Drosophila melanogaster: one gene and its partner. The protein of the gene in region 1 purifies or fractionates together with the protein of each later gene. This does not show direct contact. Each region holds a gene or a part of one and is shown in the gene's direction. Other genes may lie near its edges. The genes, in order: CG8839 and CG1227.

The links.
Region 2: the proteins of CG8839 (region 1) and CG1227 purify together in Drosophila melanogaster (affinity purification with mass spectrometry, with the first as the bait; one large-scale study listed by BioGRID). This does not show direct contact.

The regions. Positions count from the first base shown.
Region 1 is NT_033778.4:12,338,834-12,346,293, reverse strand, and holds CG8839 (uncharacterized protein), read left to right. Parts: upstream 1-1,676; 5' UTR 1,677-1,834; intron 1,835-4,197; exon of another isoform or gene 4,198-4,310; intron 4,311-4,363; exon of another isoform or gene 4,364-4,449; intron 4,450-4,511; 5' UTR 4,512-4,623; coding exon 4,624-4,806; intron 4,807-4,864; coding exon 4,865-5,084; intron 5,085-5,153; coding exon 5,154-5,728; intron 5,729-5,789; coding exon 5,790-6,401; 3' UTR 6,402-6,684; downstream 6,685-7,460. Other genes in the region: ana3 (anastral spindle 3), read right to left, coding at 1-1,208; Den1 (deneddylase 1), read right to left, coding at 7,041-7,460.
Region 2 is NT_033777.3:7,247,440-7,251,419, reverse strand, and holds CG1227 (uncharacterized protein), read left to right. Parts: upstream 1-1,681; 5' UTR 1,682-1,999; coding exon 2,000-2,115; intron 2,116-2,175; coding exon 2,176-2,770; intron 2,771-2,828; coding exon 2,829-2,963; intron 2,964-3,018; coding exon 3,019-3,135; 3' UTR 3,136-3,269; downstream 3,270-3,980. Other genes in the region: Obp84a (Odorant-binding protein 84a), read left to right, coding at 1-124, 180-244, 298-424, 485-579; Dtwd2 (DTW domain containing 2), read right to left, coding at 725-1,400, 1,463-1,542; CG10053 (uncharacterized protein), read right to left, coding at 3,301-3,980.

The DNA.
Region 1 (7,460 bases):
TGGATGAGTGCTTTGGCTTGGCGTCGGTCCATGCGTTTGTCATAGTTTATATTTAAGGCCACCATATCGTGCAGCACGCCGTTAAGGATCAGCGATTGCAGGCGGGGAATCCTGAGCGAGTCCATCAGCTGGGTCATGCAACTGCCTTCTACACTGTTACAATACGCCAGCAGACTTTTGACCGCGTCCGCGATGAGCGTAATGCTCACTAAGGGAATTTTTGAGCTGAGAACATCGTGGGTCCGCACTATTTCCACGATCAGCTCCATTATGTGCCAGTTGTCGTTTGTGCAGCTGAACAGCAACGGACGAATCAGCTTCATGCAATTTTCCAGCAGAATTACCAAGGCGCTCACCACCTTCACTTGCTTGGGGCGTGACGGAGGATCGAACCTGTCCGCGTAGCTCAGAGTGTTTCGGCGCAACAAGATGCGCTGCTGCAGCAGCCGCAGGCAGGCAATTAGTGCCCGGTTCACATGTATCAGGCTACCGTCAGTCATCGTTTGCAACTGAACCAGATGCAAGAATACGAACGGTGGCTGCAGAAAGTACTCAGTTGGGTAGTCGCCCATACGGATGATCAGTTCGGTGAGCTGCAACTGCAACTCAACGCTATTTCGTGGCAAATCAATCATGCTCTTCATGGTGGCCACATCGTCCAAGCACGGATGCGACCAGGAGGGCTCGTAATCTTCCGGTTTCAGATTGTCGTAAATCTGATTCGAACTGCTGTCTGCGGATTCAGTTGCCTGACTGGGAATGTCATTTGAACTAAGGCTGGAGACGCTCGGCGTCACCCGGTCTATGTTGTACTTCTCGAGAAGCAGCAAATTCATATCATCCAGCAATTCGCTGACCCGCTTGGACTCCTGCTTGTGTAGCACACGGCGAACCTTCTGCAGCTCGGCCTTGAAGCGTTCGTAAGGAATCTTGCGAATCACCGCCTCGGCGTACTCGGATCGAAGGAGTTCCATAATCATGGCCAGCACACGGTCGGGCACCAGCGGCGGTGTGTACCCGAACCAGCGGATGAGCTGCTTCAGCAGCAGGACCGGCTTGAACTGTATCGGCTCGCCCAGTTGCAGGCACCTGATGAATCTCGTCTCAATCTGGTCGAGCGCGCGCATACGGATCTCTTCCGATTCGCTAGTCAGCTTGGTTAGCTGCCCCTCCGCCAGCTGGAGGGCCGGGCTCTGTTTGGTACTCATTTCCTTAGACTAATAATACCCGACTTTTAGTTCGTTTTCACTTCTCTTCCAGGCAGCAAACGTTTTAGGATGTCATTTTTGAAAGCGTCAAACTCGAATTTTGGCTGGCGTTGCCACTCTGCTTGAGTGTGCGTTCCCTGCATAAGGGTCTAAAAATACTAAACCTATTAAAATAGTATTTCTCCACCTGACACCTCGCATCAGCAACAACGAACAATATTCCGCATCAATCTTTTATTGCTCCCTAAGAATTAGGTGCTTTTCACACATAATAAACAATTACTTGAACCTAATCCCTTTTTTGTTGAAGAACTTTTATTCATCTAATTGTTTTATTTTTATATTATTTATATGGTTTTACTTAATAATCTTATAAATTATGCCTCTGATATTTGCCTTATTTCACCAAAACTAAACTACGCGTATTAAATTGCCATATTTGTCTATCGATAATTTGGTCGCAACCGAGTTTGTTATTTCCCAGCATGGCAAGCACGGTCACGCTAGCGCTGTAGGTTTAAAAAAAAGTCGCCCATCTGATTGGACTTGAGTTTGTGCTTAGCGGGTAAATAATAGAGTTTGTTTGCCGCTGCGGTGGAGAACTAGACTTTTCTCTCTGTGTGTGTGTGTGTATAAATGCTTATCTTGGGTTTCATATCGTTTTGTTTACGTGCCGCTCTAAAGTGTAGCTGTGCGATTGTGAATACAGCCAAACGCTTTGTAACCGCTAATCATTGTTCGCCAACCGGTTATTTGCAATTTAAACTTCAACAAAGTGCTATTTCTGATCATTCTTATCCTTGTGACCCATTCATTGTTCCATTTTGAACAATAAAAAGGCTCCCTCGTGACGTCATCGGTTGGATTGTGTTGTTTTAAGTTTATGTTTTTGTTTGCTTTATTTTTGAGGCAAACAAACTTTACTCACACATACATGTGCACAGTGTACGCACATAGTGCCAAATGACACTTGATGAATTCGTAGTGCAAACAAAGCATATGCTGGAAATGAAAATGGAAATAGCGAAATGATGTCACTGGCGCACGCCCGGGTAACTCCCTCGCCCCGATGCCGCCCCTACCACACCCCAGAAACCATTTCGCCGGTCGCAACCTTCGCTTTTCCACCTTTTGCGTACATATATGTACATATGTATATCTCACCATCCAGTTGGAAATCAATGGCCCGTCTACTCTTTTCTAATTAGAAATGGCATGCAACTGCGATTGACATTCCGATTGGATGTCGCTCGAGTAATTTACAATTGAATATTTTGGACACTGAGCCAAAAAGGGGAGCTAAGCAACAAGTTCATTATTATTTATGGCTAATCTTATCGGATTGGCCACTTAAGTGCCCGATTATTGGACCATTATCGTCCCGCATCTCCACCCATTGAACTTCGACCGACTGAAGCAAAAAAGATTTATATTGCACCAGGAAAATGTTTGCCATTTGATTTGTGTCACTGCAACCCATTAGTATCAAACTTTGAATGGCTTATAAAAGATATTCCATTAAATATTATGAGTGAGTTCTAGGAACCGGCCTCATGAGACTTTGAGCTATTAAAGTGTGAATTTCTATTTGTAACTTTAAAATACGAAAAACCCGGCTCTACTGAACATTTCTGGCTTACAAACCAATTTAAAATAATTGCCATTCATTATACAGAGTGCTTTGAACTTCATATAGCATGCTCTTGGCAATTTTACCCATTTTATTCGTTTGTTATTCAAAATCACGGGCAGACAAATTGTCACCACCCCCCCCGTGAATATTCACCCCAACCGCAATTTGAAAGTGCGAACTTGATTATAATGCACTCACTGCATTCAAAATTCGAATGTCTGGCAGTTCAATTAGCAGACTGCGATATGTTGAAAGGCATTCTTAATAGAATAATCAAATCGTAACAACATATTATTCTTATTATTAATATGTAGATAAGCACATTGCGATAGGAAGTGGGAACTTTGAGTTCCACTAATCATTCACGAAGCACTTTTCGGATTGCTCAAAACCGACTATTTCAATTGTTGCTCTATTTTTTATGGCAAACGAATGGCATAAACAAACAGCTTCGACCTGTGACTCACTCCGCTTATCAGTTGGTTTTTTTTTTTCTGTAATACCATTTGGAGTACTGATGTGGATATGGTTAACGACCTGGCTGTTTAGTGAGCTGACGGGGATCGGCTTTTCGGCTATTCACCACTCTCCGTGGTCTGCTTCCCTTTGTGCCATTATCTTCTCGTGTTTAAGCAGCGAATTAGCTGTCTGATGCGCACTCCTGATAAGATAATGAGGTAAATCCTGATTCTGGCCGGGCATATGGCTCCCTTAAACATTATACTGCCCCGATTCCAGCTCTATATATTAACCATATATCTATGTGTGTATACATATATCCAATTCCATACAAGTTTCCATTGTTCGTTTTTGTAAACAGTGAAATGTTTACGAGTTGAACAGTAAAGTCATTTGTTTAAACAACCTTTTCCAGAACAGCGAAGTATTATGCATAGGCTTCCTTTGGCTTTTCTTCGTTATCCGGAAATACACGTTTTTCCCAATACAATACGTATATTGTCATTATTTGCTGAATTTTAGTGCAATTTTCAGTTACTTTATTTGTTTTGGGACCAATATAATGATCGCGGTTTCCTACTCTATGTATGCACTTTGGAGAAAAGTTCTACATTTCGAATATAGATTCCATATTTCCTATGTGCCTTTATGAATCCATCTATCCATGAGTCACACACAGGTGTGGACTTGGCCTATCTGGGAATGGGACGGCTCAATTAATTGCCGAGTCATTAAACCTGAGATGTGTGAAAAGAACTACAACTATGAGTACTATATTTATTTTTATTAAAATTGTCACCAATTTCATTTATTATTGTAGATAAGTAATGCTAAATACTATTCGAAATCATGAGACTTTGTGGCATGAAAACACGAAATAATTCAAGACACATAAATAGAAATTTTCCGTTTCGATATGAAACGTTCATATATTGCGTAAAACCCATTATATCCATAAAATGAATTGCCGACTTAAATGACTGAATTACCAATCATAAATCCAGAACGAGGTATTTTGACCCAATTTTATATTTCTACTGATTTGTTGTTTATTTTTTACTTTTGCTATATAAGGTCTTATAAAAGTTGCCTGATAAACCAGTTTAAATTGCAAATAAACCACATTCATGAGTGCCTTCCTTCATTTAAGTATATTTAACATGAATTTTCAATGCATTTATTTCATTTTTGTTATCGTTTCAACATTCCAGAGCAATAACACATGGGCCAGGGCAAAGTACACAGCCACCAACACCCGCAGTTCCAATTCTGAGTCCTAGTAGCTGAGCTTCTTCAGGCGCACATTCCTTAGAATTCCACAAAATGGCGAAGAGCGTGCCACTGACCCAGGCCATTGGTGGTTACATTTTCGGCATTCTCCAGGCCTGCATTCGCTTTGTTTTCCGGCTGATCTATGGCCAAAAGGGTGAGAGTGTTCCACCGATCACAGATGCCATTCTCTTGGAGTCCGCCACATCGTTGGCACGGAAAATCCGCAAACAGGAGGTGAGTGTGTGCAATCGTTTCATCTACAAAACACCTAACTTTCACTCATCTTGAGCAGCTGAGCAGCGTCCAGGTCTTGGAATCATTTATCCGGCGCATCAAAGAGGTGAATCCCATTCTCAACTGTGTCGTGGATGAACGTTACGATCAAGCTCTCAAGGAGGCAGCCGAAGCAGATGCCCTGATCAAGTCTGGACAATACAGCACGGAGGAGTTGGAGAAGGAGAAGCCCTTCCTGGGCGTGCCCATTACCACCAAGGATTGCATATCCGTCAAGGGTGCGTAGCTCCCATAAGTTTCTTAATTGGATTACCATTGCTATAGCTCAATCATGTGTTTGGCTTTAGGCATGCTGCACACAGCTGGACTCTTCGAACGTCGGGATGTGCGTGCTGCGCGGGATGCGGACGCTATGGCCTTGATGCGCAAGGCGGGAGCCATTCCCATAGCCCTCACAAATGTTTCCGAGGTGTGCATGTGGTGGGAGAGCAACAATACGGTGCACGGCAGGACAAGGAATGCCTACGACACTAACCGCATTGTCGGTGGCTCCAGCGGTGGCGAGGGCTGCATACAGTCGGCGGCTGCCTCCGCCTTTGGCTTGGGCTCCGACATTGGCGGCTCCATTCGCATGCCAGCCTTTTTCAATGGCATCTTTGGCCACAAGCCCAGCAAGTTGGTCGTCTCCAATGTCGGTCAGTTCCCAGCGCCCTTCAGTGCCGAGCAGAACTCCTTCCTCGGCCTGGGACCTATGTCACGATTTGCCGAGGACCTGCGACCCATGCTAAAGATTATGGCTGGCGAGAAGGCGGCCCTGCTTAATCTGGACGAGGATGTGGACCTAACCAAAATGAAGTTCTTCTACCAAGAGTCCGATGGCGGCGGCCGCTTGGTTTCCGCCGTTGATCCAGACTTAAGAGAGGTAAGATAAATGACCTTCTTTCTTAATTAAATCCTCTAATCTGAAATCTTTCTTGCTGCAGGCCATGAACCGCGTGGCACAGCACTTGAGAGAGAAGTTCGGCAATCAGAAAGTGGAGCGCATCCAGCTGCCCCACTTCCGGCAGTCGGCGGCCATTTGGTTTGCCAACATGCGCGACGACAGTGGCCATGGATTCGCCTACCAGCTAGGCAACCTGAATCATGACATCAACACGTACCTGGAGCTCTTCAAGTGGTTCTTCGGCGCTTCCAAGCACACATTCATTGGCCTGTCGACAGCTATCATGGATAGTGCACAGTGCAAGCACGGATCTCCCAAGTACGATCATCTGGTGCGCAAACGAAATGAGCTGAGGGAGGAGTTGCAAAGCCTGCTGGGCGATAATGGTGTGCTGATCTATCCCACGCATCCCACGGTGGCTCCATACCACAATGAGCCCATTACGCGACCCATTAACTTTGCCTACACTGGTATTGTCAATGTGCTGGGCTTCCCGGCCACCGCTGTGCCGCTGGGCAAGCTGGGCAGCGAGGGTCTGCCACTGGGTGTCCAAATCATCGCCAACTTCAATCAGGATCGACTTTGTTTGGCCGTTGCCGAGGAATTGGAGCGAGCCTTTGGCGGTTGGGCCAAGCCCGAAGTTCGGCTCTAGGAGCAGTCTCAAACGTGCAAGTATGCAGCTTAGCTAGCTTTTAGATAGTAGTGGTCAGGTTAACGTCCTGGTCTCCCCCCACCCATTACTAACTACCCCTACCCACCCGAGCATTCGCCTGGCGATGAAAGGTATTCCTTGTGTACTCCAGTGCCTCATTGTAATATCAATTTTCGATGTGGATTTATCTATTTTGTATGTGTTTTTAAATGTAATCTAATCATAGATCCGCGCGGATCCGTTCCCGTTTTGCATTTATAATAAATAATTGCAACCAACTGATATCTTTGTTTTCATTAATTGGCGACAGGCGCCCATTGACCAAACAAGCAGAGAAGTCAGAATTCTGAATTCGAAGCCAACGCGTTTTGTGGCTAAACAAATCTTTATTTTGAAAGACCAACCTTAAAAATATGCCGACTCACCGCCTCAATTGCTTTTAGTTTGCTTTTGTTTTTTAAACATTTTCATTCGGCAAGGAAAACTAAACCCACTACAACTAGCGATATCATGGATATCGTATTCACATATGTAATTCCGATGCTCCTCTCATTCTTCGGCAACGAGTTACATTCGTAATTTGGTCACTTAAAAACTACTCGGCTGTGGGCGGTTCGGCAGGGCAATCCTCGCTAGCCTCTAGCCCTTGCCGCCCAGCGACAGGATGAGTTTCAGTAGCTCGGTGCGCTTCGCCTTCACGGTGTCGATGTGCAGCGACGGCAGTCCGTCGATCACCTCGTATCTGTTTAGGTAATCGGCAATGTGGTCGGTCATGCAGATAACATGGATGCCACAGTCGTAGCCGTTCGCCTGCTGTAGGCAGCGCATGGGCCGGAATTTGGCCATTCGGACGCCAAGCAGGTCCTTGATCTTGTTCATCAGCTCCAGGGAGTTGCCCGTGTTGTTGTTCCCATACGAATCGAAGTGATAGAAGGTCTTCTCCGGACGCGAGAAGACCAACAGTGACCAGTGGCTGCCACCAGCATCGGTGGTTTCGTTGTCGTTCAGCGCGAAGAAGATAAAGGGCTTGCCAGTGGTGTTGCTCTGGTCGAGAAGCTG
Region 2 (3,980 bases), on another chromosome or scaffold:
TATGATAGTTTCGATGGCGATGTGGATGACATATCCACCACCACTTCAGCTCCTAGAGAGGCTGACTACGTAGATTTTGACGAGGTTAATCGTAACTGCAATGCTAGTTTCATAACGTCGATGAGTGAGTGCAAAGGTTAACGAAGGCAATATATGACTACATTTATCGCCTCTTTCAGCCAATGTCTTGCAGTTTAATAACACTGGGGATTTGCCAGATGACAAGGATAAGGTAACCAGCATGGTAGGTGTGCTTTGCAGATCCTTCGCCTCCCGATACTCAAAGATTACTTGCAGTGCTATTTTCACTGCTTTTTCGAAAAGTCCGGTTTGATGACGGACTATAAGTTAAATACGGATCTGGTGCGCAAATATGTTTGGCCAGCCACTGGCGATTCCGTTGAGGCCTGCGAAGCTGAAGGCAGTGAGTGTTCTAGGCAGAACTTTTTAATTACAAACGAAATCTTTAATGTGTAATCCTCAGAGGACGAGACGAATGCTTGCATGCGGGGCTATGCCATCGTCAAGTGCGTGTTTACTAGAGCCCTCACGGATGCTAGAAACAAACCCACTGTATGAATAACATCAAAGGTCACATCTCGGACTTATCAGTAGAAAATTATAATGTTAGCGTCACTAAATCAAATACGGCTACGACCGGAACACAAAATTGGCTATAAAGCACAGGCACCTGCAAGTTATTTGGTATTTTCTGCCCCGGCTATCACGTTTCCTCATTGCCATCGCAGGCGGTGTTTCTAAGCAGACGGCTGAGCCGCTTGCCAATGGGCTTGGGGTACTGGTTGTTCTTCAATAGAAACTCCTTGGACTGGTGCTCCACGGCTCCGTTGTCTAGTTGGTACTTGCACAGCGTGTGCAGCGGTCGCACGAGCGTTTGCCTCAGCTCTGGCCGAGATTCCAGCACTGCCAGGCATTGCGCAGCGGTCTCTAGTGTGCTAAGGCATCCTTCAGTAGGCTGTGTACGGATGATGTAGTCACTTATACCCACGGCGATGAGTTTCACCTGTCGCAGGCGGTGTAGAGCCGGACTGCTAGCGTAAATGGCTTTAGCCTGAGGCCAGGTACCATCGATGAGCACCAGTGTATAAGGACCCGCACTGTGGTCCACCTCTTCCAGTGGGACCGAGTCCCGACTGGGATACAGAAGCAGTGTTTGTGGAGAGTCCAAAATCCTCTGCAGATCAGCATGGTTTCTATGGTTTGGAAACCGCTTGCCTTTGTAGACGACACATTTTCCCGGTTCCAAACCCAACTGCAGCATCAGTGCAGTGCGTAGCGATCTCTTCTCCTCTGCAGGGTGTTGCAGTATAACAATCTGTGAGGACACCGCCTCAGGTGGATGCGGTAAAGCCGGGCACCAGCAAACAACCACGGGTCGTCTATAATAGAGTTCATGAAAATACTTTAATTTTTATGGCAGATTCCCAGCTTCACCACTCACTTGCATTTCTCGCACTTGTTGCGTCTGTTGGGCGGATCGGCGCTGATGCCCACGAGGTCCAGCCACGCGTCATCCTCCATACTTATAATTGATTAAATTAGAAAAATGCTAAGTTTATATTCCGCACGATAAGAAATCCGTAAGCAACAATTCGCAACTAGGTGGCAACGCACACAGCCACATGGCAAATATGACCGCCCTGTCTTCGAATCAGCTGTTTGGAGTGCAGTGAAATTGCGATTATGCGATGACAGAATCTTGAATTCCTTTAATCTATACACCAAGGAATCAAAATAAATATTAATTTATTAATACGTCAAGAAACTAAAATCGTAAAAATAATACGAAAGTGCCTAGTTTTTAAAGTTAAAGTTAATATAGAATCTTACAAATATGGTTAAAAATCACCGAACTTCATAAATTCGTTCCAGTATAAACATTCCACTTCAGCTTTGTGTTTTCTATTTAGATTTTGTATGTGAATTGAACTAGTTGTTAAGCTTAAAGTTGTGAAGTACATAGCATAATTTAAGAAAAATGCAGAGTATAGGATGGACGCTGATCATGAAACGCGGCTGCCTCTTTAGTTGCCGCAAGGAGACCCTGAACATAAACGGATCTCGATACACAATCCGCGAAAGGCTGGCGACGGGGTTTGTACCACATTTTTCCCACTATCTCCTCTGATATATCTAATCTGAGTGTTTAAACAGGGGCTTCAGTCTAATCGACCTTGGGGAAAACGCCTCCACGCGACGTAGCTATGCGATAAAGCGCATCACCTGCCACAGCATCGATGATCAGAATATAGCTCTGCGAGAAATCGAAAACTGTCGAAAAATTGACTCGGAAAACGTGATCCGGGTAGTGGATTACGAGCTGAAGGGCCAGGCGGACATAGTTATAAACACAACGAGCACCTTGTTCATTGTGCTTCCCTATTACAAGCACGGATCTCTTGCGGACCACCTTCAGCTGCGATCGCGGAAACAGGACCACATGCCCGAGGCCCAGATCCTGCAAATCTTTCTGGGCGTCTGCGAGGGATTGAAGGCCATCCACGAGGCAATGCCGGTGCCTCTGGCCCACCGAGATCTAAAAACGGCCAACATCTGCCTGTCGGACTCTTTTGAGCCAATTATTGTGGATCTCGGGTCAATGACAGAAGCCCGACTGCAGATTGTGGGCCAGACGGATGCTCAGCGCTTGCAGGACGAAGCCGAGGAGAGGAGCTCCATTGTCTACCGGGCTCCAGAGTTATTTACCGTGAAAACATATTGCACAATTGACGAGCGCACTGACATATGGGTAAAGCAGATCCAAGAGAGCGTTATTGAAGTTCTTCCTTAACATTTCCCTCTTTCAGAGTCTTGGCTGTGTGCTCTATGCAATGTGCTACTTTAATTCACCCTACGATCCCATCTACGAGCGAGGTGACAGCGTGGCTTTGGCTGTGCTCAGTGGGAACATAAACATTCCAGAGGATTCAATTTACACAGAGGTAATAAACCTTTTTTTTATATTGTAAAGGAAACTAATTCCAAATATTTGTCTAGGACATGCACGAATTAATTAAGTACATGCTGCGAACAGATCCAATGGAACGGCCATTCGTGTTTAGTGTTATCGAAAGGACCCACGATCTGATACAGAAACTGGAGGGTCGCTTGTAGCTCCCACTAACTGGATTACAACTCATTTATAGACATTCCTCCAAACCAGATACACCGCTTACTGTTTTTTGACTACTTATTGTAAAATATTTTAAACCTGCTGATTTTATGAAATTATGTGTAAGCAATCAAGCTAGTTTTTTTATTTTATTTTATTGATTGGAGCTAGTGTTCGTCACGAGTGAGTCCTGGACAGTTGGAGCCCAGATCTTCGGCGTCATCGTAATGGGTCCCACACCAATAGCAGAAGCAATAGGCTGTGCGCAGGTAGCCAGTGAGGAGTTCTAATTGCTCCGAGGGACTGTATGGTTCTTGCTTAGGTGGCACCTCGACTTCAGGATCGTCGGCGTCGCTCTGTGATTCATCTTCATCTTTTGGTTTAGGTGGCCAAAAGAAATCGAGATCTGGTTCTGTGATAGCGGACTTAAGATCCAACGATTCGCAGGTCTGCTGGCACCGTTTTATGTCATACTGTAATTTTCGCTCCTCCGCTTTATGGGTCGCGCGCCTCCTATAAGCCTCTGTACTGACTTCCTCGTCGCTTTTAATGCCGGCCTTGTTTAGGAGATGTGCCCTCCGCAACTTCTGCCGCTTGAGGGCCAACTCTGCAACGGCTGCCTCGCGCCCAAGTCCTCCACGACCGCTCTTTATAGTTATCCCCACGGGTTCAGTACGAGCATCCGAAGTTATGCCCAACCCAGAACCGGCTTTGTAGCCCATCTTGGCCAGTAGCTGGAATCCTTTGTTGTCGGCGGAAATTGGTTTGTTGAGGGACTGTTGAAGGCGAACATTGTCTACGTTCCCGGAAGAAGCTGCTGTCTCCCGTTGGCGCTTCTTCAGCTCAT